Alligator mississippiensis: one gene and its partners. The protein of the gene in region 2 binds, or shares a complex with, the protein of the main gene of each other region. Links are inferred from orthologs where the notes say so. Each region holds a gene or a part of one and is shown on either strand. Other genes may lie near its edges.

Region 1 (7,580 bases), on a different chromosome or scaffold from region 2:
CATTTGTTCCCAAAGATCCCAATTCAACTGCAGGACAAAAATAAGCCCTGAACCAACTCTGAAACACTGACATGGTCACCCAGGCCTTCTTGTTAGACTTCCAAATGACTGGCAGACTGCTTTTAAGATACCCTTTGAGAGCCCTGGAGTTTTCTGAGTGGTATACAAGCAATGGTTTCAATTTAAAATCCGCTGTAGCATTACCATCAAGCAATAAAGTAAGTCGATCCTTGGACACCCTGAAACCTGGAATCAACTTCTCCTCTCTGGAAATGTAGGTCCTAGAAGGCATCCTCTCCCAGAAGAGGCCTGTCTCATCAGAATTGAAGACTTGTTGAGGCATATAAACCCCCTCCTCAATAATTTGCACAAGCTTATTTCTACAGCTGGAAGCTGCTTGGGTGTCAGCACTAACAGCCTCCCCCTGAATAGAACCATTATGCAAGTTGCTGTGCCTCTTAAATCTTTCGGATCACCCCTTACTTGCATAAAAAGGCTCAGAAGCAGACCCCTTGGGCAAATTTTTCTGTAAATTATCATGCAGACTCTTAGCCTTCTTCTGAATAAGCAGCATACTCAAGGGCATATGGCGTTGAGTCGTATCCTCAATCCACACACTTAACAGCTTCTCCATTTCTAACATAATTGGAGCCCTACGCATACTGGGTTTCAAAGCATTCAAAGGAGTTACAAATCTATCACATTCTTTTATTTTGTCTTAAATTTTCAACAGCTGACCCAGACAAATTCAACGCTCTACAGACCTCATTCTGGCATTTCCCTGCTTCAATTTGCTTCAGGACATCCAATTTAAGCTCCAGCATTATGCATTTGCACTGTTTTTTCTCAGCACTTGCATTCTCAGAGTCAGCTGCACGTCTCTGACTCATGGCACAACTCAAAAAACAAAGCAAGATGGTGACACAAGCACAAAAGAGCAAGAAAGAGCACAGAGCACAAAAGTTTTTGACAAAGCAAGATGGCAACGAGGCTGTGCACCGCTGACACTCCCTGCCCGATACATGAGTATTATAGCAAAACCCATGAACGCTAAGTGAAACCGGGCATCAAAGTGAAATGAGCACTATAGCGAAATAGCGTTAAAGAGAGGTTGCCTGTATACTTTAACTTTAATTACTAATACACCCTCACTGCACAACAGCCCCACATTTTCCATCATGATTTTCTTTTTAATTATGTGGCTGAAGAACCTTTTCCTATTGGTTGGAATTTCCTTTACAAGCTCTAACTCAGTAACTCAGTGTGACTTCTAGAACTTCTCACTTTATTGCTATATCTCCTAACCTCTAAGACTGACATCACTTAAGTAGCAAAACCAAGTACAAAGAACATTCATGCAGCATTTCCAGTCTTCCATACTACCCCATACAGTTTACATACCGTATGTATGTATGTATGTATGTACATTGTTCTATAGAATAGAGACCTGACATAAAGGAGACTAAACAATTCTCATTCTCTCAACAGAACTCAATTGAGACAAATTTCTGACATCTGATGTTCTCTCACTTACATATAAACCAGGAGTGGCAGTCACAGAGGGGATGAATTACTACATATTAGCAACAAACAAATTTAAAGCTTCAGGCAAGAGCTGCTGCATCCAGCTCTGTGGTCTGTGTCAAGGCAATTTTAACTTCTTAGCAACCGAGGCCTGCACAAACAGGGGCCACATACTGAGGGAGCTGCAAGCTCACCCCACACCATGTGAGTAGGCAGCTCTTTTCACCACTACTTTACTGCACATGTGGGCTGCCTCTCCCCACTGATCCACGTGCTCATCTATTTGGCCACGGGCTCCCTTGGCACTTCAGCCTGCATTGCACTTAGCCATGCTGTTCTTTTCCCATCTCTGAGGCAGGGGCAGGAGGTAGAAGCCAAAGAAGGGAGGGAGCCTGAAGACCCTGGCTCTTGCTGCTGCTGTCCAAAGACCAGCGTAGTAGTGGCCAAGGGGAGTCCATGAGCAGCAGATTAACTTCTTGTAGACTGCACACGGCCCATGAGCCACCAGTTGGATAACCCTCCTCTGTGCCGCTCAAGACTACATCGGGGTTATCAAGCATACCCCCAGGGGTACTTGAAAAGGGGCCAGGAGGTACGCATGGGTGAGCAGGAGTGGAGCACCGCCACACACCACCCCGCACCACCACCTCCCAGGAGCAGGGCCAGGGGTGGGGGTAGTGGCTCCCTTCTGCAGGCCACACAGGCACTGCCCAGACAGACAGATGGATGCAGTGGGGAGGAACTCACACATGGCAGCTGCCACCACCATCCACCACCCACACGGTGTGTAGCCCCCCCCATATCCAGCCACCACCAGCCAGAAGTGTACCTAGAAGGAGTACACTCCTTAAAGAAGGTTGAAAACCTCTGGACTAGATCACATGTGCCTATGCCATGGCTTGCAAGCCACAAAAGATTCCTGGAGAATGTAATGTGAATCCTCAAGAAAAAGAAGCAGCTAAATAAAAACCTTTTCTTTTTCTTCTGTGTCTGTTTATTACATCCTACATGTGATTTGCTTCAAAAAAAAGATAACGATGCATTATTACAGAGCTGGGCGGCAAGCCAGTCATCGACTCCAGACAGTCAGCATAAAAAACGTTGATGTGCCTGCCTGCAGCGCTCGGCTACGGCTAGAAAGGCTGGGAAGTTTGGTCCTGCCTGGACTGGATAACAGCATCGCCCGACAGCTTCACGGAGCCAACACACCACGCACCCGGCACTTAGCTATCTGGACGTTTGGTCACGCCGCCTACAGGCCCCGCTCTCCTGCCGCCGCCGCCAGGAGCCCACGCGGCCCCGCTCCGCGCGCACGAAACGGGAGGGGGGGGGGCAGCACGCGCGGGGCAGGGGCCACACACGCCGCCACTCCGCACCTCGGCTTTTTTTTTTTTTTTTTACCTGAATTTACCGCCAACGGCGCCGCCATCTTGGAAACCGACTCCCGCGACCCGCCGCAGAGAGGCCCAGAAATAGCGCGGGGCGTCCGTCGGAGTGCCTGATTAAAAAGCCCCACCTTTTGCCCCCAGTGCAGGGTGTAAAAGCGGGACGCAGTTGCCCTCATACACTACTGTGCCACTCGCAGAGAAATTTACAACACTCTTCGTTACTCAGCATCCCGAGACGCTTTCAGACAGGCAGGGGTGCCCTCGAATTCTTGGGCTCCTCAGGGCCCGAGCGCGGGAGATGCTGGGAGTTGTAGTTCATGCCTGGACTGCAGAGATGCCTAAACCCACGGGCTAGAATCCCCACGTGCCACCGGGCGCCTCAACCGAGGGTAGGCTGAAAGGGTGAACGGGAAGCTGGTTCCCTGCGGGAGCCCAGGCACTACCCATTGGGCCACGTGTTTTAGCGGTCCCGCTCCCAGAGTGGCTTGATCCGTGTGACAATGAGGCACCATGGACACATCAGTCAGCATCATTAATCACATCTCCTATTCTGGCCATTGACAACGGTAGTTATGCATTTCCAAAAACCACTGGAATAGAAACCAGACATTAAAAACAAAAACTGCTGCAAATAAATTGATTTTGTGGCTTATTGAGTCACATGTTTTGGTAAAAGATGTGATTGTAATTTGTAACTGCTCGTAGGGGTGCAGGTTGTAGCTGCGTTGGTCTAAGGACATAGACAGACACATTCTTTGGGTAAATCCGGTATCTTTTATTAGAGTTTTATTAGATAAATATATTGGATTTACCCAAAGCACCTTGTCTGCCTGTGGAATTGCTTGCGTGCTTTTTTGGTGGTGGCATGTTTTTCAGGTCAATGCTTTCTTTGCATTAACGTGCCTCAAACTTGTTAATAAAATGCTTTTTCAGGTGATAAAGAACTAACAAAATTAAACACAGGTATAAATGTCTACAGGATCAGGGCCACAGGTAGAACATTTTTTTTCTGTATTTTATCAGTCTCATATATTTAAAATAACATATCAATTTATTCCTGTTAACTTTAATTCCCTCCCTCCCTTTTTCCAGATCTTAATGATAAACATGTCTGTTTTTATGCCTCCCTCCTAGAGAAAATTTGTGAAAGGTTTTTCCATAAGGGTGTGTGCATTCATGTCACTAGCACCTAAAGTTAGTTGAAAACATTGGGGGGGGGGGAGGGTCATTGTAAAAGCATAAATCGTTTTTTGTCAGTTTTCAAAACCCAAAAGATTTCAATCTGTATAGTTTCTCATTGAAAAACTGGAAAATTTTAATAGACAACAAATTTCAAAACATTTTGATGAAAAATGGCCTTTCAGTTTTCTAAAATACAAATTAAATTCAAATGTAAATTAATTTTGTTTTTGAAAAAAACCAATGTTTTGAACCATCTCTACTAGCAAGTGTACTGGATTAGGAATCCATGTCTTGTGTCCTTTTTATGATAAACTTGGGTTTACACTCCAGTATACAACAAAGGCTTGCCTCAACTTGGGGCAAAGAACACTGAAATTGTGGAAAAATAATTTCTCAAAAGAAAGTTGAAAGAACTGTTAGGAGTGAAGAAGAAAGGACAAAACAGCCATTTGGTTATACAGCTAGAGCTACAGAATAAGCATTAATACCTGACAAGACTCCCTTGTCTGCAAGTAGCATGCTGGCCTCATGCTTTTAAATAATCTCTTTCTTAAGGCCCCACTAGCCATTCTAATAATTGCAGATTTGCTTTGGCAATTTCCATCTTGTGTTACCATAGAGATAGAAGATGACACTAAAAGATGTTTTCATTTGAGTGGCCAGTAGTTTTCACACTGAACTTTATTAAAATTATTACTTCTCTGGCTACAAAACAACGTTCAATAAACTACATTCATGGGAAAGAGACAGCAGATAGACTCAAGAAGAAAAGAGGCAGAGATAATGGGATGGGAAAGGAAATAAAAAAGGCTACGCAGAGAAAATAGGGACCCTAGAATAAAGATCAACAGCCCACAGCATGCATGCCGGATCAGGCCCACCAAGTAAACAGATTTGGTCTGCGAATCCTGGACACATCTGCAGCGATTCGGCAGTGGGAGGATGTCTGCCGCAATTGTTGGGGAGGTCAGCTCTGCAGCAGGGACCAGTATTGCTGGCCGGGGGAAGCCACCACAGCATTGTGGTGATGGAAGAAGCGGAGGCAGTGGCAGCAGCCAGGTGCATTAAAGCAGCCTGCTCTGCTGCTCCAAAAGATTGCTGATGCCTGCTCTGGAAGATGGCTGAATAGGGAAAGACAACTAAGGAAAAAAGACCAAAACCAAAATAAAACCCCAGAAAGACAAAATACAATAGCCAATGTAGAAGAAGAGATGTACAGAAAGGAAATGGGGGGTGGGGGAGGGACATCCTAGCAGAACATTTCCTCTTATAGGGTTTAGAGGATGTACATTTGAGAAATGGAATCTTCTTTTTTGTTGCCCACTCCTCTTGTTGAACTAATTTGTCCTTCCAAATCTCCAAATCTTTTTCCAAATCTTTTCTGAATCAATTTGGCAGCTCTGAATCAATTCAGAGGGTTTTTTTGGTCTTCCAATTCTATTTGGATTCGGTGATTTGGCCTCTGAATTGGGCCAAATCTTCTCCAACTCGAATCAGCGACCAAAACTTCACACACCCTTAGTAGGCAACCCCCGGCACATGTGCCAGAGTGTGGCACATGAAAGCATTTTGCTTGGCATGCACACCTCAGGGTTGACAGTAGGGAAGGGCCCGGGGCTGTGCTGCCACAACAAAGATCAGGGCCCTCATGGCTTCCCTGCTGTCTGTCCCTGGAATTCCAACATCTTACAGACAAGGTTGTGGGTGTTTTGGGCATGCTGTTCAAAAACGCATCTGACCCCTGATCTAGCAAATGAATGCACATGCCAATAAAGTTGAATTTGGTTTTGCTTTGATCTTAAACTGAATAATGTATCTCTGGGCTCCTAGCATATTAGCAAATCTTCTAATTTCTCTTTAACTGGAGAAAAATATTGATGCACCACACCATCTGCGCCCCTCTTTTCAAAATCAGAGATCTACTCATGTATGAAACCTGTGGTGGCACAGTAGGGGGCACTACTACTCAGAGCCACCTGCCTCACTGTGCCAGGCCCAAAAACCTCACTTGGGAGTCTCCCACAGGGTGCCTACAGCCAGCTGTCCCACTTCCTGGAGAACACCCGCAACTCTGGGGTAACGCTGCCACCACCCAGGTACTGGTTTCTGTTAGAGCTCTGTGGAGCCCAGGGCACACAGATCCTGTGAACCGTGTGGTTGCTTTGCCCACAGGTAATATTTCTGGGTGCCTGTTTTGGCCCAAAGCATCCCAAGATAACCTCAGGTAGGACTGAGGGAACATAAACAGACAACCTCCACTGGCTAAGCTGAAAGCAAAAAGGTCTGCCTCTCTCCCCTTCATTGTACCATAGCAAAGCACACTGTAACCTGTTACCTTCATTGATCAGGGCGGGAGCAGGGGTAGAACAAGGAAGTCAGAATACACTTTGAGTAAACATAAGCAATCAGAGTCTTATACAGCCTTGGACATAATAATCCTTTTAAAACATGCCTAGCCAAGACATAAATCCTAACTCCTGGCTAGTTTCTAAGTCTTTACTTACAGAAAATCATCCAGGCAGCAGCCTGGAGGTATATTGTCTGTTGCTTTCAAAAATGCCTGGCACCAGGAAGGGAGCATACCCCACTCCCCTCAGGAATTTATCCAGCCAGGTCACCTGGTTGACCAGCCTGAACAAAAACGAAAGCGAGAGAGAGAGGGGGGGGGGGGGGGGTCCACCTAGAATAACCAAAGTGATGAAGAAAGAAAGGAGGATTTCTTCACGGACTCATCCCAGGATAGTTCTGTTCTGGTACAAAAAACAGGTCTAACTAGTCCTAGGATAACATCTGCTCCTAGCTCAAGATAGCTATTTTAATATTATAAAAGCCTAAGTCTGTCCGACTGCCTGTCTGTCTGTCCATAACACTTTATTTACGCTTTGATTGGCTGACAAACAGCCAATCAGAGCACAAAGAAGTGTTTTGACAGAAGGCAGCCTGCCGCCATGATAGTGGGGATATAGGAGACGGCCTTGCTCCCCCTCCACCCTGCTCCCTGGAGGCAGCAGCAACAGAACGGGCCCGACACAGAGGGGAGGAGCAGAAGCACCATGGCATCAGCGGTGGCAGTGGGGCCAGGGGAGGACTGGGCCTGGGCCTCACGCGGGGCGGTAGGGAGCAAGCTCAAGTCGGGGGAAAAGCCAGCCCACCACAGCAGTGTGGGGGGGAACAGCAGGCCCGGCCCGGCCCAGCCCAGCCCAGCCCAACATGGCAGCTGCAGGGGAAGGGGAGAACGAGCCTCCTCTCCCCGTCGGACCCGGGTCCACTCCTCCCCCAGCCTCACTCCCCCGCATCTGCCCCAAGCCCACTCCTCCCATCGCCCTGCTGCTGTCAGGTTGGCCTGGGCCCGCTGCTCCATTGCCTCCCTCCACCGCCACGGCCTGGCTTCTCCCCACCCTTGGGCCCAGTCCTCCCCACATCGGGCCTGGACCCCAGGCAGCAGGAGGAAAGGGGGAGTGGGCCCAGATGGGGGGGATGGACCTG
Region 2 (8,004 bases):
CTGATCCCAGACGGTCCCAGCCAAGGGCTCACTGAATCAGCAGTGCTCCTCTCTGTCCCTATTCAGTCATGCTTGCTCTTCCCCAACCAACACAGACCCCAATTTTGACATCCAGCCTCCCTGCCTCTCTTGGCATCCGCTCTTAGGGAGTCTCCTGTTGATAAATGATCCCAAACCTTGGTGCTGACTGCCGTGGTCAGGCTATGAAGGCTACGGCAGGGCTTGATGAGAAATGAGGGGGTCTGACTGGATACTTTTGTCTTTCTGTCTGTATAGAAGTAGCTATGGTAAGACTAGGGAGGAGAAACCGGAGAACCCTGAGAGCCCCTAAGGCACAGGCCTCTTGTGGGTGTTATAGCAATTGATTGCAAATTAGGAAATGCATGGTGGTGGGTATTGGGGAGCTTGTAATCTTAATGTGTTGTGAAGGATTGCTCATTGGAAGTGAAGCACTGGCTTTAATCAATGCCACCCATCAAGCTAGCTGTCCCCATGAAACAGAGAAACTCTCCAAACCACGTGTTTCAGGATGCATTGGCTCTGGGATTGAGCTGGGCTAGATCCTTGGATGTTTAGGAGCCTGGAGAGGCCTTTCCTGCTGGCTGAATCAAGGTGCAAACCCATAAGTTTCTAGATCTGCTAAAATGTCTGGCTGAAATTGGAGCATAATAGAAGCTTAAAACCTGCAGGACAGGGGAAGTCCTCCCCACATTAAGGCAAACTAAAGTCTCAGTGACTTCCACCTATATTAAGCCTGCTGAATGTGTAGGATTAAGCTTGGAGTGTGCTCTGCAAGCTGCTGGCAGGAATACACCACTGCTCTTTCTTCATACAGAAACTACAAAAGGAGCTACTTGACATGTCAAGGCATTTCTGGGTGGCTATAAGCTGAAGCTCATGCCAGAAGTGAGATAATGGGAAGAGTTGCCCCCAGATAGCAATTTTGCTGGCTGCTGACTGAAGGATGTAGACACGAATGTTGAATCTGTGAAGAAGCCGCAGAGCCAAACAAGTTTCTTGGTGGGCCCCTCTTTGCCCGGGGTGGATGCACTCGTGTGAGCCTGATGTCTCTGGAGACGATTCTACTAAGTCAACTGTTGGTTGCAAAAGGTGTTGCTGCTTCTGTCTATTGAGTTTTTAAAGGTAGACTTCCTAATATATTGGGTTTTCTAGGAGGCTCCTTGTAATGTGAATAAGCAGCTGGCCTCTGAAGTTTGGTCGTTTCCCTCGCTGCCAGTGGCCAGTTAGTTCAGTTCCATAACATCAAATCTAAATTGGCTGTTCTCTCTCACCTGAAATCTCAAGGGGCGGTGGGAAAACCAGCCCAGCTAGTCTTGCTTTGGACATTCACAGAAAACGCTGGGGATGTCCTACAGCTGCAGGAGAAAGTGAGATCAGAGGAGTCCAGTCTGAGCCCCTCGAATCCATCCAGCCTTGCTGTGGGGGAGTTTACTTTCTTTATACAGGTGGCCTCTGAACTTCTGGGATCCTACAAACAAATGCTTTTGTTTAAATGTATTACAATGGGACCATTCTCATGAGTGAAATTCAGCACATTGGAAAGGTTGTCTTGGCAGAGCTGGGACCTTTCGAGGGCAGGGAAGGACTCGTCTGATGCCAGTGTAGCTGGGACCATGCTCTGATCATTCGGGACACTGATGCGATCATTGCTTTCTATGTAAACTCTTGGAATCTGGTTGTTTGCTGCTGGGGTTTAACTGCTTACTCTGTTTCTTCTTTTATGTTCTTGGCAGCTTTTAACTTTTGTGGTTTTTAAATCCTTGTATAAATAAAAAGTCCAAATAATTGTAACTTGACTAGACATCTTGCTCCTTCCAAGGGCTGTATTTTTTTTTATGTCTTGCTATCATCTTTGTATGAAAACTTTGGAATTGTGACAGGGGGAGAGACTGCAGATGGGGGTGGCACAACTCTGCTTGTCCAGGTGGAAAAATAAACCTTCTGAAACAACTTGAAGCTTCGGCATGTCCTGTTCTTGTTTGAACCAGGGTAAAACCGAGTTCTAACCCCCACCATGTACTGACAGGAGGGTTTTGCCTACCTTCTGCCAACTCATTTTGGACCCATGCTTGTGTCCTGGGTTACAAACAGGAGGTGGAAATCCTAAATCAAAGCACATCTGTCTGAAACGCTTCTGTTACCACTACTTGTTTTCCACTGCAGGAGCAAGAAGACGTCTCGTTAGGTATGACCCCTGCCTCTACCCTGCCCCTAAGGAATAAGGGCAAAAGAAAAGTCCTTCCAGCCTAATGCAAATCACCAAAGCAGGGCCCAGGAGATGTGGGGCAGGTTTCTCAGCTGCACAGCTGCCCTTGTGCCCCAGCATGGGCAGGAGAAACAAGTAAAAGACATCTGCTACAGCCTTTCTAAAGAGCGTGTGTACTCCCCTGGGGCCAGCACTCACTTCAAGTCTTGGAGAATTAGAACCAGGAGGGCAACTGATTTACCAGTGGGAGATTTTTGTCCCCCTTGCTTCAGGTAGTTTATTGAATGTAATTTGGACATCCCGGCACTATTGTAACAAGGACTTTTATCCCTGAGCTAGAGTGAAACTAGCTTAGCTGGTACTAGCAGGTCTTTTGTACTGTCTGGACTACCTGCTATGGACTGAAATGACTGCACACTTATGCTGTGTTACAGCTGCCTCCAAATCCTCTAGTGCAAGCAGGTGGACCGAGTGAAGAGAATTTCCCCCACTGTAAAGCCTCCTTTGGATAAAGCAATTGGCTGCAAATCACACTGGGCTCTGCTTTGAGCAATTAGTTTTCTGCATCCTGAGCCCAAGGTGGTCAGAGACTTAACTCTGTGGCCGTTTACGCTGCAAGCCTAAGGGTAAGAGGCCGTCACGCCGCTAAGGTCAGCGCTAATGCAATTGTATTTGCTTACAGCAGGGGTGACGTCGGCCTCAGGTGTGGAAAAAGGCAAGTAGGATCTAACAGCTGGTGTCCTGGGGCAAGGCTGGCTAATGAGATTGCACAGGCAGCGCTGCTGCGTTTGCCCTTCACATGCTCTTGCGTGTGCTTCTCTGCTCCATTTAAACACTACAGCACATCGCAGCAGAGCATTGGCTGACTTCAAAGGGCTACAATAAAACCACAGCAGGCTACAAATGATGCCTGGTGCCAATGATGGGAATGCCTTGGGCCAGGGGAGCATAAATTGGACTGAAATAATTCAGCTAAAAACAGCATGTCGGTAGTGGCTGACAGGGCTAGATCACCGGCCTTCTCAGTAGTAGCAGTGGGGACAGGTACACAGCCCTGCCAAGCCCCTATTGCACCATTAAAAGGGTAGTGTCCTCCCTTCTATTTGTGCTGGGAGCTGGAAGTGGGTGGCTGGGGCACTGTCCCCTGAACGGGCACAGCCAGGTCCTGGAGAGCTGCTGGGTACGTAACAGGACTCCAGGAGCTGGCGCCTTAAGATTATCCCCAGCGCAATCATTCTGAAACTTTGACCATTGCTCCTGTCCCTGTTTTGGCTTTGAGTTGTACTGAATAATCAGTGCCATGCCCCTAGTGGCCCCCATCACCAAGCGGGGCTCATAGCTCTACGTGTTGAGCTTTGGCCCATGTTCCCAAATGGTACATCAAAAGGCCTGTGTCACACGCAGGGCCCCCAGGGACTGCGGGGTCGTTTCCCTGTCCCTCCTCCATTCACGTCTCACCAGGCAGTGTCCGCCAGCTCCTTGAACACGTTCGAAAGCCAGCAGGCAATATCCGCTGTGCTGTGCTCGGCGTCCCGTCTTGGCACACTCTTTTCGGACCTTTGACCATTGTTCTCATCCCTGTTTTACCTTTCTTTTGTCCCAAGAAATTAGTTGTTACTTTCTCAGCAGCCTCCTGTCCTAAGGAAGTCTTCTTGTTCTTGGTGGGGAAGAGCCCACGATCCCTTGGAAGTAACAAATAAGCCTGTTTCACGCGGTGGCAAAGAACAAATGCTGAAAGGAAGCAGGAACTGAGTCTGGCCAGGAGTTTTTCCCTATTGTCCCTCTCTCTCTTGCAGCCTTCAGCATTTCAGTGCTTAGGAAGCTCCTTCAGAGGCCGCGGCCCACACTCCCAGGCTCAACAGCGGCTCTCCAAGAACGGGTCCAGGCCCTTGGCTGAATCTGGCTGGACGGTCAGCTCCCTGCGCTAGTGACCCTCTGGGTGCAAAACAACGTCCTGACGTTCATTTTACACTGACCACCTGCTTGTTTCATGCTCTGGGCTGGTGGGAGAGACTCGGCGCTCAATGCTGGCTGACTTCCTCTCCGCCATCTGGGGTGGCGTGCATCCCTCTTGTCCCCCCCCTCCCCAAACAAGTGTTTCTCTTCCCAACCGATGAGGCCGGGCTTTCGCCTCTCTCTGCGTGGGAGCCCCTAATCCCCCTGGTTGCCCTTGTGTGGCCATCTCTAGTTCCTCTCTGTCCTACGGGGGCAACCGGGCACGGCAGCCCAGGGCTGGGGGCACCAGGGGCTTGTCAACGGGGCTCATAAGCAGGGATCCTGGTTTTCTCGGATTTAAAAAAATCCCCAATTTTCGGTTTAAAAAGAAAGAACCCCAAATCCACATTTTTCTGTGATTAAACCGAAACACCGTGTGTGTGTGTCTCTATATCTATAGATAAATCTATCTAGATCTATATAGATAGGTATACAGATAGATTTGTAGCTATAGATACATCGATCCGTATCTATAGATAGATTAATAGATAGGTATAGTGGTGTTTCATTTTAATCATGGGAAAATGTGCATTTGGGGTTACATTTTTTTAAACCGAAAATTGGGGGGGGTTTAATCCGAGAAAACCAGCACCCATGCTCGCAAAATTTATGGGTAGGCCCCGCCCCTACCCTGAAGCCCCGCCCCTTCTTGCAGCCCTCTCCCCTCCCCACCCCGTTCTCTAGTCCTCCCGCCCTCAGCTACCATCGAGCGGCGCGGCTAGAGCGGCCTCCGGCTGGGCCGGAAGCGGAAGTAGCCGGACAGTGTCAGTGGAGTGCGTAGCGCGCGGCGGCGGCGGTGGCGGCGGCGGCGGCGGCTCGGCCGGGCCTGGTCACCATGGGCGACGACATGGACGTGATCCCTGAGCGCGACATGAAGGTGGGGGAGGGGGCAGAGCCTCGAGGGGCCCTCTGGGGTGCGCGGCGCTGCACAGCCTGAGCCCCAGGAGTCTGCGGTGGGGGAGGGGCAGGTGGGGGGTGCTGGGGGAGGATCAAGGCCCCCCTCGGGGGTGCTGGGGGGATTAAAGCCCCCCTTGGGGGTGGTGGCTGCTGCAGGTGTAAAGGGGAAGGTGGCTCCCTCCGGCAGCACGGCACCAGCGGCTCGTGGCCACATCGCCCTGTTCAGATTGGTCCCAATGGTGCTGAGGGGGAGGGGGTTATCTTCCTCTGTAGCAGGGGGCTAAACATTTCGTATCAGATGCCTGCCTCAAATTGTTCGAATAAGACGGCAGGCCAGGGCGGCGAACGTGGAAGTGTTAAATGTTGCTGGTCTGTCATTCGTGAGAACGTTGACAAGTAAGACACGACTCGGGTGGCTTGGTCATGTCAAGAGAATACCGGATCGCAGGATCCTGACGACCGTGCTGTACTCTGAAGCTCGCGCAGGGTCTAGAGAGAGGCGGCAGGCGCTGCACGGGTTTCGCGATGCTTGCAAAGGAGACTCGGCATCTTTTGGCACCTCCGTGGCTGATTGGGAAGGCAGTGCGGAGTGCTGCTCTGGTTGGCGGACTCAGCTTGCAGATGAGCGAGGCGCTGCGGGGTTGACCAGATCAAGTTTTGCGACGACCAGCGTCAGAGGAGGAAAGAATCTGCTCGGATTCAGAGCATCGCTAGCGCGTGGGTGGCGTGCCCTGTCTGTGGGCCCTGTCACGTGCGTTGGATTCAGCAGCCATCAGAGAACTCATCAGCGCGTACGCCATGCTCTGTAAAGAGCAATGGTGCTAATTGAGTGATTGTAGCAGGGGTTGTGGCCTCCACCCCAGATCCCTTGGGCATATATTGGCAACCTTTCATAGAAGTGGGACATTGGCTGCCTTGGTTTCCCTGCTTTATCAGTGCCAGGTTTGGGTGCTAGGTCTGTGTTGGCTCAGGATTGATGGTCTTACGTAGAGTTTGGGTGATGGATGATAGAGGATGGTTTGGATAGGGGTTGGGCCTGCCTCAGGTAGAGGTTGGACTGGATGAGCTCTGGAGGACCCGCCCAGCCGGACTCCTCTGTGGTTCTATGACATTTCCAAGCCCCCCCCCAAGCCAGGTGATATGGCCCCCTGTGTGGGACATGACCCAGGGTTTGGCCCCCAGCCCCACATACCCTGGGTTCAGCCCCCAGACTAGGGATGAAAGGTTGGGTACAGCTGCTGCAGAGAAAAAGCCTTGTTTCACCTGAACAACCCTCAAGAGGGATTTTGGCACCAAGCAGAAAGGCCTGTCTTGAGCTCTGGTCGTGCAATTTCATAAGAAAGGAGTTTTGCCTCCTTTCCATCGCTTATTTCCTGTGTGAAGTGTGCGGCCCTTATCCTTGTAGGTGATTCCTGGGAAAGTCCAGTCTTTCCATGCCCGTTGGAACCTCTGGAGCAGATCGTTACAAAGGGTTTGGCCTTGGCTCTCTTGGAAATTCAAGCATTTTGTGGTGGTTGACCTATTTGCGATGTATTCCGGTGGTTCTTCATTTGAGAAAGTGAGGAACAGCACTTCTGTTGGCATAAAATGAAAATGGTCAAAGGTCAGGCTGAGAGCGCCTTTACAAAGGATGTTAAAGAACAGAAGATTAATTTTAACTTCCTAAAAATAGGAACAAGGGAGGAATGGGAGCTGCTTTACAGTAAGGCTGGGGTAGAAATTAAAGGTAACCTAGATGTGGCCTAATACTTAAATGAGTATTTCAGTATTCGTGTAAGATGTTGGTACAGAGCCTATTATGTTCCTGTTGTATTATGTGGGTCAGAGACTTTGGGTTTTAATAAAGAGGGATTTCTGCAGGCTGTAGCAATAAATAAAGGTATGTATTGGGAGCTTGAGATCAGACTGAGTGAGTGCTAAGGAGCATGTTAAATCAGCAGAGTTGAAGACATGGGTAGAAAGACAAGAGCTGGTGTAGTTGAAGCAAACAGGAGAGAATGCAGGAGGACAGGATACTTCATGGCATGATGAAGGTGCATACTGAGGGCAAGAGGCAAAGGGAAAGACTGGAAAAACCTGGAAGGGCATTTTGACTAGATGGTGTCAGGGAAGAAAGTATGTATATAAGATAGCAGGCAGCGGAGAAGAAGTGGAAGGAGATATATTACCAGACCCAGGGCAAATTTCATGCACTCAACGGAAATTTGTGTGTATTTTGTCCTTATACAATGGGAGCGCATCTTTTGGAGATGATGGAGGAGGAGGAGGAGTGTCTGCATATACTAGTAAGTTGTAGGCTGACTGAGGCTTCTTCAGTGTGATGCAGCCATGAAAAAGGCAGCACAGTCCTAGGAACTATCAGGAGGATTTCCAATAGGAGGAAGTACTGGCATTAATGCCGTAGCACAAAGCCCTGGTACCTCATTGGAAATATTGTGTGGTTTTTCTGGTTGTTCAGATTAAAGAAACCAAGGTTTCAAACTTGGACAGATGCAGAGGAGAGCTACTAGGTTGACTGGAGAATAGGGAGTCTGTGTTGAGAGGAGACAAAAAAAAAAAGCTTGGTTTGTTCAGCTTAGTGAAGCAAAGGCTGAGTAGGAAATGATCACTTTTTTTAAATACATCCAGGGAGGGGAAAAGAGCTGTTTAAGCTAAAGGGCAGCATTGGCATGAAATCAAATGGGTATAAACTAGTTGTGATTATATTTAGTTTAGAAATTAGGCTTGTGACCATTGGAACAGTTAGCTTCTGGAACAGCCATCCTGTAGGTGTGGTGGGGGAAATATTTCTAAAAAAAAAAATTTAAGATGAAGCCAGGTGTATTTATGGAAGGGATGCTATGATGCAGTTGCTCGAATAGCAGGGGGCTGGATTCAGTGATGCT
Region 3 (7,261 bases), on a different chromosome or scaffold from region 2:
CATCTAATACTTTTTGCTCTTCCTGGAAGATTGGTCTATTATTGCTGCAAGTTCACGGTCTAATTTTCAGGGATTGCTAGGAGACGCATCTGCTTATTTTGGATGTGGTATTTGAAGGGTGAAGTGAGATATTGGCTCACAGATTTTATAAAATGGTAAGATTGCCTCTCACCTGCAAAACTGGACATATACTGAGGTAATAGTGGGGGAGCCACAATTCAAAGGGGCAACTTTTCATAACTGTATAAATACATATAAATAAATGGCTCCTACAGCTTGTGTATCTGGCCATGTACAGCTGCGGGTACACAGAGCCAAATGACTAAAACAACCCAGATTCAGAACATATCACTGCCACAGTATGCTAGCCTTCGTATATTTTCTGGCAAGAGTTTACTTTCAGTTGTGACCAGGTTTCAAAAATATAAGGACTGTTTACCTGAGTGCTATACTGGTTGTGCAGGGCAGGATCCCGAGTTGAAACTGAGGAAGAAAAAAATAAATAGAAGTAGTCCAAACATTTGTCCAGACCTTTTAAACTGTATTTTAGACATGTCACACAGTGCTTAAAGGCTCATGAAGCAGAGTAGCACAGAAAAATAAATGACCATGAGTGATGCTATGTGCAAGAAAAAAACATGACTGGCAACAAGTATCATCATACTGCTGCAATCAGTCACAGAGAGTAGGGGCATTCCACTATTATAATGGTGCTATATTGTTGTCTGCTCTGCGGGAAAACCTGTTTCTAACCCTAAGGGTTCAGAACAGATCATAATAAAGAAACCACCTTTTTCATTCATGAAATGACAGGTGATTCAGAAGTCCAGCATTCTAAAAGGGACAGCAAGAATGACCCTTGACGCAGCTAGGTTAGAGTTGGGGTGCTAGGTTGCAAAGTATCTTGTGTGAAGAAAAATCAGCAAAACCAGAAGCAAGGTAAAAAAATAGAAAATGATCAGGTTTGCCAAGGAACTGAAAAATTTAAGAAAGGAATTGAAGAGTAGAGAAATAGAGTGGATAAGATTAAAAAGACGTAACCACAAGAGTAATCTTGCAAGTTCAATTAAAAAGTAATGCAACGATGTCTCAGCCTCTGTTCAAAAATCAGCATGGAATTTAGGGAGAAGAGCAGAACCCCCACTGACAATCAGAACAGCTTATTTTACGGTCATTTATAATAAAGAGTTGCAATAAGATTCAATGTATGGACTCAAACCTAGTCTGTTTGTTGTTAATGGAGAAAAACAACTTACTAGCCACCTGATGCATGTCCTCCATGCAGGCTCTGATGACTGACCGGTAGTTTTTACTTACTCCAACCAACCTAGCAAGAATAAAGAGGCCTTGTTTAGAGAGAGATGTATTATTGGCCATATGGCTACTGGACATTAGGATCAAGACCCTTCAAATTTTCTCTGCTCAGCCAGAAATTCACCTCCTGCACTGGAGAATCTAAATGAAGCAAGGGGAGTCCATATAGGTTCTGTCTGCACAAAATAATCTGCAGGCGCAGAACCTAACTTTATAAAATATATATTGAAAAGATTAGTTACGTAAAATTACTGATCAGCAGCAGCTCTGAGAACTTGAAACTCAGAAGTTTTGTTATTGGCTTCACTGCAAACGGACTTGTGTTTGATGTACAAACAGGAGCAATACGTTAGGCCTTTTTTGTACAGCATAATTATTAATGTACCACCTCCCTTCCTAACAAGACAGCCATGTGCACCAGTCCTAAGGGGATTGATCTCCTACCCCCTTGGCCAGGGAGGCGGCAACATTCATCAGCAGTAAAGGAGACTAGGCAATAATAAAGAGGAATAACAAAACCAAAATACATTCATTACTACGTTCAGTCAACAAGAGGCAAGTAGGTATTTATGTCTGATCACTTCAGTGACTCGGAGACACTTTAACAACGAAAGGGGACGTGCAAACATGCTACCTGAATTTTGCCTCAATAAGAGGATATTCTTGGGGGGGGGCGGCAAGAAAGCTGAATTGTCCTTTTTATGTCAAACTTATCAAGCATTTCCATCCACTCACTGTGCCTTCCTTGATTTCCCAGACAGTTCTTCCTCACTCCTCTGGAGCCCCACAAAGATGCCATGGGATTCATTGAAAAGTTTACGTAAGGTATGTAAGTATATGTCCTGATCCTTGCGAAGGACATAAATATAGGGGCAGCCAGGCCCTTTCTCCCCGTGTCCTGAAACAAATCATGGAAAGCCATCAGTTCATAAAACAACACGAGCGTTACCACTCTGCAGGGCAGAAGCACGCTTCTAGGCTTCACAAGTTAAAACCCAGGGTTTAACTGTTTTTAAGCGACACATGAGGATTAAGAAATGAGCCAGTAACAAAAACAGCGCGAGAGGTGCAGACCGACTGGATGCGATAAATATTCTGCTGGAGACAACTCCAAGTCGGTTCCCCTGTGATCAGTGTCCGAGTCCCTGCGTTCCTACACCTGAACGCCTACGGCTGATCAGCGCTGCTGGCGCTGAACTCTCCCCCTGCTCCTGCCCCGTTTGTGCTGCTGCTTCTGCCACGTGAAGGTGCAGTTTCCTTCCTTAACGGCCTCAACTCGGGGAGTCAGAGACGCCCTGAAAATCTCAGCTCCTGTTAAAACAAAACCTTAACCCTTATTTCTTTCTTTATTTATGTTCAGCATAAAATAGGGGGGGAGGATGGTAACCCTTATGTTGCTGAATAAGACGGAGGGGGGGGGGGTGCTAACCCACCTGCGCCGGGGAAGGCGGCCTCGCACACCAGCATTTCTCCGGGCCCCCACTGGAAGTGCAGCCCGCGGCCCGGCGCCACCCCCGGCACCACCTGTCAGGGAAGAACGGGGCGGTCAGGTCAGGCCAGGCCAGGCCAGGCCGGTGCCCTCCGCCCCACCCGCCCCGCCGCCTCCATACAGTGAGCGCCGGCTCCACATCCAGCTCCTCCATGGTGCCGCCGCCGCGCTCCAGCCCGGCCGCCGCGCGCCCTCGCAGAGGAAGGCCCCCTCCCGGCTGCCCTCCGCGCTGCCTGTCGCCTTCGACTCCGCCCCACGTTGCGAAGCCACCGCCTTCATTAACCTCCGAGAGTAGAAAGCGCTGTGGCGAGGAGGATGGGTTTGCTGGGCCTTAACAATTAGGTTTGTTTTGGGTTTTTTGGGGGGGGCAGGCGCGCCGAGGGCAGCCCCGCGCGACGGGCTGAAGGAAGAACCCCACTGGCCCTGCTGGAGAGCCGAGGGCCGGGCTCGGGCTCTGGGGTGCGGGCGGCTCCGTTCCGTTCTCCCCGCCCCGCCCCGCCGGCTCGGGGGCGCGGTGCTGTGCCGGTTGTCGGGCTGCACAGCGAGGCCTCCGAAACATCGCCCTGCTGGGCCAACGGGTGCCGCTGTCTTTCCCTCCTGTGCTGTTCCAGGTCCCCGCTCTGCGTGGGGCGCCTCGTGGTCCGGGCCGACATGGAGAAGAGATGGAAAGAAGACGAGACGGCCGCGAATCCGTTCTGTACGAAGCGGTGCGTCGCGACGGTGAAAAGCGAGCCCGACGCGTGGGAACCGCTGGATCCCGAGTCTGCTGCGGCGCATCAAGCTCAGCCGTTGGCGCTGGATCAAAAGGAAGCCCTGCCCGATCCCGAAACTCCCCACGACTACGACATTGGGAACTACGTAGACTGTAGGCATTCGATAAGCGATGAAATTAAGTATAAACTGCTTACCCAGCCGTGGACCCCTCATCCGAGCTATGAGTTCCCGGTGTATAAAGACTCGGAGAACACGTCGCGAAAATTTAATTACTCGTGGCTGATAAATTATCCGTTCGTATCTTATAGCGAGAAATGCGCGGGCGTCTTTTGTCGTGTTTGTGTGCTGTTTGCCCCAATACAGGTAGGAGGCCAGAAACTGTCTACGCTGGTTTCTCAGCCATGCAAGAATTGGCAAAAAGTTACGACAAAATTAAAAAATCACACTACAAAAAAGTTTCACGGAGCAGCCTGTTTGGAAGCACAAATATTCAGCGAATGTTATGAAAAAACCTATAAAATTCTCATACACACGCTGGATGAAGAAAGATGTGCCCAGGTAGAAGAAAACCGAAAGAAACTTGCGCCTATCATTGAGACTGTGGTGTTTGCAGGTAAAAACGGTCTGCCACTTGGAGGGAAGGATAACGGTGAATTGGGTAAGAACGGTGAGAGTAAATCTGAAAGCATTTTCCAATCACTTCTGCGTCTCCATTGTCAAGCTGGTGACATAACCTTACACGAACACTTACTAAATGAGCCCCAAAATGCAATATACAGTAGTGAAACCATTCAAAGGGAAATTATAGAAGCAAGCAATATCATCGTCAGAAGCAAGCTGGTACATGAAATAAATGAGTCGGGTTTCTTTGCGGTATTCCTAGATGATGAAACCACAGTCATTTCAAATGTGGAACAAATGTCTGTCTGTGTGCGATATGTCAAAGAAGATCCAGTTACAGTTTGTGAAGTTTTCCTAGGCTTTTTACCTGTTTATAACCTGACTGGTGCCGGTTTAGCAAAGGCCCTTTTGGATTTCTTGAGGGAATGTAGTCTAGATTTGACAAAATTGAGGGGGCAGGGTTATGATGGAGCCACCAAAGTGGCTGGCCACGTAAACAGTATACAGGCTCACATAAAATCTGACTTTCCCAAAGCTGCGTACAGCCATTGTGCATCTCATGCTTTGAATCTTACCATAGCAAAATCTTGCACAATACGTGGAATAGAAACTACCTTAGGCATTCTGAATGAAGCTATTGGATATTTTGAGGAGTCGGCCAAACGGATGAAGTACCTGTCAGATGCTATAAATGCCACGTGCCCAAAGAGCAGGCACAAACGCTTGCAAAGTGCCTGTGTTACTAGATGGGTGGAGCGACATGACAGTATCATGGTGTTCGCTGAGCTCTACGATGCTATTATTGCAGCACTGGAAGCAATGCAGACGGATGGTGACAAAGCTGTCAGAAATAAAGCAAATTTCTACTACAAAAGCGTATGTGATTTTGAATTTATTATCAATTTGACAGTTGCTGAATTCCTCTTAGGAATCACTCTTCCACTGTCCAAGGAACTTCAGAGGGTAAATGCTGACATTGTGGAATGTTTTGACCAAGTGAAATTGGCAGTTGAGGTTTTAGAAGGTAAGAGATCTAACTCTAATGCTGAATTTGCAGAAATATTTAATATTGCCCAGTCACTTGCAATTAAACATGACATTGAGGTAAAATTGCCTCAACTTGCAGCCCGGCAGCAAAACAGATGCAATGTTTCATGTGACAGTGTTGAGGACTACTTTCGAATTAACACTTATATCCCATTTTTGGACTTCATGATTCAAGAACTGGCGAGGAGATTTACATTGCACAGCAACACTGTAACGGATCTTGGCATTCTAATACCTCTCGTTTCATGTCGGTATCCATCTGAAAAGCTTAGCCGTGTTTTAGAAATGTATGGTGAAGACTTGCCAGATAGCAGGAATATGGTTTTGGAGGAATTTCAATTGTGGAAACTCAAGTGGCAGGGCAAGGAGGAAAAAGAAGTGCCAAGCACAGCCATTGATAGTCTGACAGACTGCGACAAGGGATGGTTTCCAAACATTCATATTTTACTCAGGATTCTGTGCACGCTTCCTGTATCCGCAGCTCCAGCGAAAAGATGTTTCTCTACTCTCCACAGAATTAAAACTTGGCTTCGTTCAGCAGTGGATGAAGAGCGTCTTAATGGACTGGCCATGTTGTACATAAACTCGCACATTAAAATAACTGTCAGTGAAGTGTTGGATGAACTGTCAAGACGCTCAAGGCTAGATTTTATTTTATTACTCTGAATGAGAAATGTACATAGCATCCTAATGATTACAGGACAAAAGTCTTTCCTAGTTTGTTGCCCTTTTTATACTTAATATAGCAACTGACTGCACATTCCAATAAAGTTGCATTTGTTTTTGTTTCAATCTTAAACTCAATAGTATAACCCTTGGCCCCTAGGATATTAGTAAAGTTTCTAGTTTCTTTGTAGTTGGAGAAAAATTGTATTGTTATATGTGATGATGATGCACCGCATCCCATGCTGGTTCTTGTGCCTAGATGCCCCAGGCAATTTTGTCTGTCATCCCATTGGTTATGGCCAGAGGAAACCAGTCATGGTTTATGCCTGATTAACCTCCATAGGCTGAAACTGGAGGCCAGTGTGGAACTATGGAACTACAGAACTCCTCTGGCCAGCTGGGAACACTGCCAGCACAGAAGGTCTAGGGAACTCAAGACCTGCCCAACCAAGAAAGCAAAAAGCAGGAAAGCACTATTTTCTGAAAAAGCAGAAAGTTGATGAGAAAGGGGGCATTGATTACCTTTTAAAGCTCATTCCTTCTACACTAATGTTGTGACTTGGGGAAAGAGGAGGTGTCAGTATTTATGAATGTTGATGTAAGAAGTTGGGAAGATTGCATGCAGTTTATACTCTGTGCACAAAACCATATTAATGCAAAGTGACGGTTATACAATCAGGCTTCCAGAGTTAAAAGTTGAGAGGTCAACTTTAGCCTCGCTCTTTTTGCTTATGCAAACCCAACCTCGGGCTTAATGTGGAAATGATTATGAAATTGCACATTGGTTTTTCTCCTGGAAGTAGCATTTCTGTGGAGTTCTACCCCTTTGCTCCTCTTCAACTCACTGAATTAGGCCATTGACCCCTTACAGACAAGGCACCAGCTTGTGCCACTTTACTATCACTTGGGTGCCACAGGTTTAGGTCTGTTGTGCAGTGTGACCTCCCTCTGCAGTGTGCTCTGGGTGACTAGACACTGTCATGTGTCTCTGTGATGGAGTTAGGCTCTCTTCTTCACAGATTGGCCAGTTGGCACCAATTTGTTGGTATGGTTGGCCAGTTGCCCAAGGATGAATCTTGATTCCTAGATTCAAATAGAATTTAAGCCTCCTAGGGAATCTGGGGGGGGCTTTGCTCTGCTGAACTCAGCTCTCACCCCTTAGCCTTCTTTGTAATCACATGTGTTTCAGCTCAGTTGATTCCAGGCAAGATTCTATCCTTGCTGCTTTCATTTCATGCTTGTTTTACTCTCCCTGTTGGAATTTGGGGCAAATTGTTCTGCCCAGTGTCTCCTGTGAGCTTGGACTTTGGAGTCTGTCCTTGCCATTCCGCAGAATGTCTGCAGATGGCTTTGGAGGGGAGAGTGCAGCGCTCCTCACTTGGAAGGAATTCTGTTTTAATTGAGAAGTTG
Region 4 (7,470 bases), about 1.5 Mb from region 2:
TGACTTGCTGCCAATCAAGATACACTTAGGATGGAAGTGTCTTATTTTGACTAAATTACCCTGGAGTTACTCCAGAATGAGGCAGACTAGAAACATCTTTTTCTCCTCTGGTTGAAAATTACTACTTCCTCTCAAATAGTAGAGCAGTAGCAAAATACCTGAACATAATTCCTTCACAAGTAATCAGAAGAACCAAGAAATGCAAAGAAAAGCAACACTAACTAAAAGCAAACTATTTACTTTGAGAATGCAATCTACAAAAAATATCACTATAAAGTTCAAATCCCTAAGTGTCTTTTAATACAGCAATGCTACATAATTGATTTCCAGTGTTACGGTTTCTAATGCACTCATTGGTGTAGTTTCTAGCTGCCGATTCCTTTCTAGTTAGATATACTTCATTCTATAAAAGCAGAAGAACCTGTCCTATTCCAATTAGCGATAAAATGTGTGTCACCCCTCTGTCCCGTGCAGAGCACCAAGACTACAGAATTCTCCCAAGGAGATACTCCCTCTGTAATGCATAACAGCAATATGGCTGAATCAATTCCACCCCATTTTCATTTCATTCAGAACTTTTCCAGGATTAAAATGGGGCTTCAACTCCTTCCAATTCACTTAAAGATGCTTCTTGGGAAAGATGCTATTGGGAAAGGAAATTTCTCTTATGAAGCATTTATAATGCACAATAGTGCTCCTATCCCAGGTGGTGCCTTGGGCATGATTATCCATGTAATTAATTAATATATTGAAAAAATAGTTGCTTAAAGTCAAAGAGTTTTGACATGTTACAAGCAAGATCAAAAGAACAGTAAAGATATCCAAAGGCTTAAAGTGTATATCAGCTCCTCAAATATCAATTTCATCATGAGACTACACATTTGACTTGAAAATCTGATCTCTGTCTTCAAGGTTTATGGCTCACTTCTGGAGATTAAAGCTCTAAGAACAGACTTTAATGTGCAGTGCACAGAATGTAATTTTTTTGCAACAGAACCAGAAAAGTTCTCTATAACGTGTTCTCAGTGTTCTACAGAACAATGGACTATTTGGTCCCGTTCTGGTGGTGTGTAAACTGAGATTTCCATTTGGCAGCAAAACTGTTTAAAAAGTTGCTCTATTTTTGTTAGCACATATTCTCCACTTAAGATTCTAAATGGACAAAAACACTAATATATCTAATTCACTGCTGGTCCCTGTGCCTCCTCTCACTGCTAAAAATAAATAAAATAAAATAAATTACTTTTTCAAGCATTTCAAATGCAAGGCTGCGAACAGAGGCAAGTTTACAGCCTGGGTACCCATTTGCATCATTCACAGATTCACCGAAGTTTAGGGTTGTAAGGGACCTCATGATGAGATCATTGGGTCCAGCTTCCCTGCTCTGGGCAGGAAAGCTTGCTCAGGTCAAATAACCCTGCAAAACATATGTCCACTCTTTCATTCAGGGATGAAAGAGTTTGTTCTTGTAGTCATCCTGCCCTGCTTTCTCTTGTAACCAGTTTACATCAAGTTTTGTGACTACTGTAGTACCATTAGGTTGCTCCCATTCACACCTCAATCAAGACCCTCTGGGCTAGGCTCTATTATATTCCACTCTCACACCCCAAGCAGCTGTGCAGCCCAACTCTCCTCAGCCCCAAGCCAAATAGAAGTCCTTACAAACAGAGCTGAAGTCTGAATGGTTTGATAAATTGCTGCTGTTTACCCACCCCAAAATGATTAACCACTCCTTTTACTGCTGGAGATGCACAATGAACCTCAGTGCGGCAGTTTTCAACCTTTTTTCATTTGCGGGCCCATATAAAATGTCAAAGGGAGGTGCGGACCGCTTGGACTTTTAAGTGCGTGTATTTGCCTGCTTTTGATCGATCATAATCATCTTTCACGGATCCCTTACATCAGGGGTGGGCAAAATGCAGCCCGCGGGCCAGATGCAGCCCACCAGGCCATTTATCCAGCCTGCAGAGCCCCCCAAAATTTAGAAAATTAATATTTATCTGCCCCAGGCTGCCTGTCATATGGCCCTCGATGGCTTTCCAAGACTCAGTAAGCAGCCCTCCACCGGAAATAATTGCCCGCCCCTGCTTTACACAGTCTGTGGACCCCCAGGGATCCAAACCCCACGTGGAAATGGATCTGATGTAGGCTGATGGAAACAGCTCCTGGGAGCCCAGGAAGTCCCCTCCGCACCCTCACTAGGAACAAGAACCGCTTTGATAAGGACCCATTTATTATGCTCCGGGGTCCGCACCAGGATCCAAGGGAGTTATACAAGACCTAGGAGCCCACAGGGCCTGCTTTCCCCCTGGCTCCCACGACGCCCTTGTTTTTTCAGGAGCTCCTCGAGGGAACGAGCTTCAGAAGTGGATTATGTCGAAGACCGCCAGACCCTGCGTTTCCCGGACTGCAGCGAAGGGGTGAATTGAGCCACCTCATGCAGGTGCACGCGGAGCGGAGCAGGGCAGGGCAGGGCAGGGCAGGGCAGGTGAATTGAGCCACCTCATGCAGATGCACGCGGAGCGGAGCAGGGCAGGGCAGGGCAGGGCAGGGCAGGGCATTTCCCCCCCGCCCGGCCTGCGGGCGCAGGCGGCACCGCAGCCCGGTGCGATGCAGCCACGGGGCCAGCCCCAGCCGGGCGGTGGAGAAAGTGAGTGGGTGCGTGGGAGACGCCTGGCAGCGGGGCACAGCGCCACCCCCTACCTCGTCGGAGCCCCCTGCTTGGGGGGACACCTAGCGCCCAGAGGTGATTTACCCGAGGGGTGGGGGGGGTCTCTGCTCCAGGAGAACAAGGAGGGTTTGGACGGGAACAGACAGCTAGAGGGGGTCCCTTGAACCCAGCCCGACCCCCCGGGAGGAGCCGTTGCCGGTGGGAGAGACTCCCGCCACCGCCGCGCGCGCTCCTACCTCGCGCACAGCCCGCCGGCCGCCATCTTCGCGCCCCTCTCACGTGACCCGTTACCCGCCGCTCGGGCCGGCACCTGCGTCACGTGACGGGGCCTCGCGCCCAGCCTGTCGCGGGGGTTCATCACGTGACGGACGCAGCCGGCAAGATGGCGCCGGCCTGTGAGGTGAGTGGCCTCGAGTCTGGTGCTGCGGGGAGGCGGCGCCATGGAGACGAAGCGGCTCGCGGGCGGGGGGCGGGTGTTCGCCTTTCCCCTCCCCAGTCCCTCCTCCGTCAGGGCTCTTTGCTGGCCGTGGCATTGCTGGTTGTCGCAGCGAAGAGGCGCCCCGCGGCCCTGCTTAGTCCCGGAGGCTGCTCCTTCGGGCGTCCTTGCCCCCGTCACCTGCCCCCTGGGTCGCCTCCGAAGTGGCTGCCAGGGCCACCGCTGTCCCCCAAAAACTCACTGGGGGAGTTAATGGAAGGAGGTAGAAGGAGCTCAGACAAACACTAAGCAGCGGAGATAAGGAAGAAATCCTGCCTTTTGTTTCAGTGGAGACGGGAGAGGAGCTGGAGAGCCGAGGTGCGGAGACAAAGCACGGCTGCTCGAGATGTCAGGAGCTGCAAAAGAGACGCCTAGACCAGCGGTGAGATTCAATGAGAAATAACGGCGGCCCGTGAGAGATGGAGTGAGCACAGAGGTGAGGCCACTGGGAGATGAGCTCGAGGAGACCCTGCCAACGAGAGGGCGATTTTGCAGCAGCTCAGAAAGTGAGCGGTGACCCTGGAAAGATAGGAGGGCAGGAATAGTGTGGCATCTTCTGTATGTGAGGAAGTGGAAGTATTGTGAGATGATGGAGCTTGGAGAGGTCGTGTTTGGTGAAACCTTTGCAATTCCCTTGTTCCTAAAACAAGGCAACGAAATCAGTGAATGATAAAGTCTTTTGTTATATAGTTATAGTATGCCCTAGATTGGAGTGGGCAATTCTTTGGGCCCGCGGGCCACATAGGTAGCTTTGGAGAGCTGCAGCTGCACCCTTCCCTCTCCCTACCCCCCCCCCCAAAAAAAACAACCCAACAGCCCGGAGCCCACACGCCCTTCAGCTCCTCCCTGCCACCGGCACCCAGCAGCAGCTGAGTTTACAGCCCTGGCCCCAGCTTGCCCCATACCCGCTCCGGATTCACCCCAGCTAGAGCGGACCAGCTCCAGACCAGGTGGGAAGTGTATGCAAACCCCCAACCACCACCTGCCCCACACCTGATCTGGACTGCCCAGCCACAATGAGCAGCAGTGGCAGCCATGCAGAAGCTGCTGCTGGGTGCAGGGGAAAAGCAGTCATATGTCACCCCACCTCCCTTTGCCACTGCCAGGCCTTTCTTGCTGCGACCGCTTGGAGTCCATGCCCTGTGGCTTCTCTCTGCTACTGTCACCACTGCCACCAGTATTGCCTCTGAGCAGCCCAGCAGGGCATTGGAGAGGAGCCGCAGGATAGCCCAGGTGCAGGCTCCAGGTGGCCAGCGAAAAAAGATGGGCACTTTTCCCCTGCACCCAGTGGTAGCTTCTGCACAGCCACCAACGCTGGCATCGCTGCTTAACATGGGCAGGCAGTCCGAAGCAGGCTGGGGTCAGGGCTGTGCATGTAGGTCCCAGCTGGTCTGGAGTTGGTCCACTCCAGCTTGGGTGAGTCTGCAGTGGGTGCAGGGCTGGCTGGGGTTGTGTGTGCAGGTCCCCACCAGACTCCATGGGGCTGAGGGCATCTGCTGCCACCTGGGCTGCCTAGAAATGGAGCCCAGCCACAGAACTGCCCCAGCCCTGCTGCGTGCCTGGGCATGGCAGGACATGCCACAGGCCAGATGGCACCTGGGCCAGGCAGGATTGAGGGACCTGCTGTGGGCTGGGCAAAGCCCCTCTGTGGGCCGTATTTCTTCCCCCCCACCCTAGGTTTCCAAATTACACTGTGTCTGGGTTGCACTTGAAGATGCTTATAAATCAGCATTTGACATCCAAGTGTATCCCTGTGGGGCTTTTTGAACAGACTTCTTGAAGTGAGGCTGCTAAGTGTCACTGTTGCATTGGAGCTGAGCTGGAACTTACAATCAGCCATATTCCTCTGTTGTATATCTCCTCCCTAGCTAGTATGTGAGGTACACTTTGCCCCTCTTGGAGAGGTCCTCACTCCTTATACAAATCTAGAAATGGCCTGCTCAAAGCTAGTATTGGGCAGAGGGGGGTAAAATTGGCACGGGTTTTTTTTTAACCTTTTTTGACTATATAAAACTTTTTTCCTGTATGACTTCAAAACTGATGAATGAGTTGTTGAACAGGGGGAAATACATGCATCTTGGCCTAGCTTTATAGCAGCAGCAAATATGAATTGATCGCTTAAAATAATTTTGTATTTCAAATCCTATGGGTATAGATATCAAAAGAACCCTAATGAAAATTAGAACTAAAATTATTACATTTGCAGTACAAAGTTTCCAGCCAATGAGAAAACTATCTAGACCCTAAACATCAATTATTTGAGTAACCTTTAAGAATGTTATTACAAGATATTTTTTCCTTAGCTTAAATAGAGTGAGGTACCACTGATAAAGTATGTAATATGTAAGAGGAAATAATAAATTCTGGAGAGGATGTGAAAGATTTTACCTCCTTACCAATGAAATTGTCAAGTTAAGGTAAGCTGTAGAAGACAGACTGGCAAGGACTTCTCTGTTTGATATCTTATTGGACCAACTACATGGTAGGGATAAGCTTAAAATGCATATTAAGATGACTGGGAGTTCACAGAATACTCTGGGATATTTATTTTGTTGCATCACAGATTATAGTTTTCCATCCAGATTTTAGATGTTCTTAATTTGTGTTGAATCTGTTGCTAACAGATTTGTGTTGACTCTTATTCAGTCAAAATGTCAGCATGGATCAAATTTTCAAGTTATTAGTTAATATTTCTAAAGCATGATTATTACTTAAGGGAGAGAAGACACTTGTATTAAAAGGCAGGAAAACTGTTTCCTTACAAAGAGACACTATAAATTTAATTCATACATAGGTTAGACTTTTATTTACTAAAATTAGGCTTACCATAATTAGAAATTTATCAGTGAGGAAGTTTATCTTTGGTGTGTTTACAGTGTTTGCTTTGTCAATACCCATTGCTGTTTGTTTCTTGCCTTTCACAAAATAAGAGGAGAGAGAAAAATATTTTTAAAAACAGGGAAATACAACTGTAAATTCACAAAAAATTGGAAGGAAGGAATTGGGAACAAAGGTAGGGCCCATAGAACATTTACATTTTTTAAATTGACTTTGCAGGCTGAATATCAATATCTGATTTACCTATTCTGGTTTATTTTATTTATGATTTGTGTTCATTTTACATACCAGTTAGTATGTGCTCTGTTTTTGTTGGTATATTTTAAACAACCAAATATTGCTGATGATTGGAATAGCATTATTCATCTCTATTAATACCAAAATCTTACCAATAATTATATCCATAATTGTTTAATTTGCATAGTTCACAATGTGTGTGTGTGTGCGCGCACACACGTGCATGTGTTTTAGGTTATATAATGTCATTTACATTTACAACAAACTTGTGACTTAAGGGGGATTTTTTTTGTATTTAAGTTATAAGTTACTGAAGTAGCTAAATGCATTTACCAGTGTAATTCTTTTGAGCATTGCTGCTTGTATTTGTGCACACTCCTTGCAGAATGCAGTGCTCACCTCCCTACTCTCAGTAGCGGAAAGAAAAATGTGACATACCAACTAGAGTTTTTAGTATTTGCATGTGAATAAAAGTGCTGTGAGATTTGGCACTAGAAATGGAAGCTGACTTGGACTTTTCTGATTCTTAGATGCCATGGAAAATGCCAGTTTATTTCCTTCTTGGTTTTATTTTTCTTGTACAGGAGTTGAAGCATGCAGCTGAGCTTAAGAAAATGGGTTGTTTTTGTAGAAGCTCTGAGTGTTCTTATAGTCTCTAATGTTGTTGTTTTGTTTATGTTTATAGGAATTGCAGTAGGATGAAAGTGAACTTCTACGAACGGACCAAAGACCGTATTGAAAACATTGGGATCAGACAATTATAACGATTTTAACATCACGGGACACAGCTGATTGGAACCATGTTACTCAAGCCAGTGCTTGTAGAATCTCTGGTTGTTTTCACCATTGTGCTGTGTGTGCACATGGTGGTGTGGGATCGGTATTCCTGGTGCGCTATTGCTCTTGCCATTCAGGCTTTTTATGTCCAGTTTAAATGGGACCGTCTCCTCCAGTTGGGTGGAGCAGTTTTCCAGTTCCGGACAACGGCTAATAGCGGCCTTCTACCAGCTAGCATGGTCATTCCACTGTTGGGGATTGTGATGAAAGAGAGATGCAAGATGTCTGGCATTGTGTATTTTGAACGTTTTGGCATAGTTGTGGCCTCCACTGGCATGGTGATAGCCCTCTTCTTATCTGTAATAGCAGTTGGCATCACAAAACCTGTGCCAACTAATACTTGCATACTTTCTGGTGTTGCTGGAAGCTTAATCATCTACACCATGAAACATTCTTTGACTGTTTCTGAAGT

Evidence for each region.
Region 1: NUP214 (region 2) and NUP205 share a complex: the UniProt entries of both Homo sapiens proteins name them as parts of the nuclear pore complex. The link is inferred for Alligator mississippiensis from reciprocal best matches to the Homo sapiens genes NUP214 and NUP205.
Region 3: NUP214 (region 2) and NUP85 share a complex: the UniProt entries of both Homo sapiens proteins name them as parts of the nuclear pore complex. The link is inferred for Alligator mississippiensis from reciprocal best matches to the Homo sapiens genes NUP214 and NUP85.
Region 4: NUP214 (region 2) and NUP188 share a complex: the UniProt entries of both Homo sapiens proteins name them as parts of the nuclear pore complex. The link is inferred for Alligator mississippiensis from reciprocal best matches to the Homo sapiens genes NUP214 and NUP188.

What each region holds. Positions count from the first base shown.
Region 1 is NC_081827.1:91,530,705-91,538,284, reverse strand, and holds the start of NUP205 (nuclear pore complex protein Nup205), read right to left. Parts: upstream 3,012-7,580; 5' UTR 2,954-3,011; coding exon 2,926-2,953; intron 1-2,925. UniProt on the Homo sapiens protein: Plays a role in the nuclear pore complex (NPC) assembly and/or maintenance. May anchor NUP62 and other nucleoporins, but not NUP153 and TPR, to the NPC.
Region 2 is NC_081835.1:59,555,352-59,563,355, forward strand, and holds the start of NUP214 (nuclear pore complex protein Nup214), read left to right. Parts: upstream 1-4,991; 5' UTR 4,992-5,057; coding exon 5,058-5,099; intron 5,100-8,004. UniProt on the Homo sapiens protein: Part of the nuclear pore complex. Has a critical role in nucleocytoplasmic transport.
Region 3 is NC_081831.1:12,344,189-12,351,449, reverse strand, and holds the start of NUP85 (nuclear pore complex protein Nup85), read right to left. Parts: upstream 3,008-7,261; 5' UTR 2,958-3,007; coding exon 2,925-2,957; intron 2,839-2,924; coding exon 2,748-2,838; intron 2,213-2,747; coding exon 2,050-2,212; intron 1,328-2,049; coding exon 1,257-1,327; intron 484-1,256; coding exon 440-483; intron 1-439. Other genes in the region: 52 kDa repressor of the inhibitor of the protein kinase, read left to right, coding at 3,455-5,851. UniProt on the Homo sapiens protein: Essential component of the nuclear pore complex (NPC) that seems to be required for NPC assembly and maintenance. As part of the NPC Nup107-160 subcomplex plays a role in RNA export and in tethering NUP96/Nup98 and NUP153 to the nucleus.
Region 4 is NC_081835.1:58,084,477-58,091,946, reverse strand, and holds the start of NUP188 (nucleoporin NUP188), read right to left. Parts: upstream 3,004-7,470; 5' UTR 2,934-3,003; coding exon 2,908-2,933; intron 1-2,907. Other genes in the region: DOLK (dolichol kinase), read left to right, coding at 7,022-7,470. UniProt on the Homo sapiens protein: Component of the nuclear pore complex (NPC), a complex required for the trafficking across the nuclear envelope. Required for proper protein transport into the nucleus.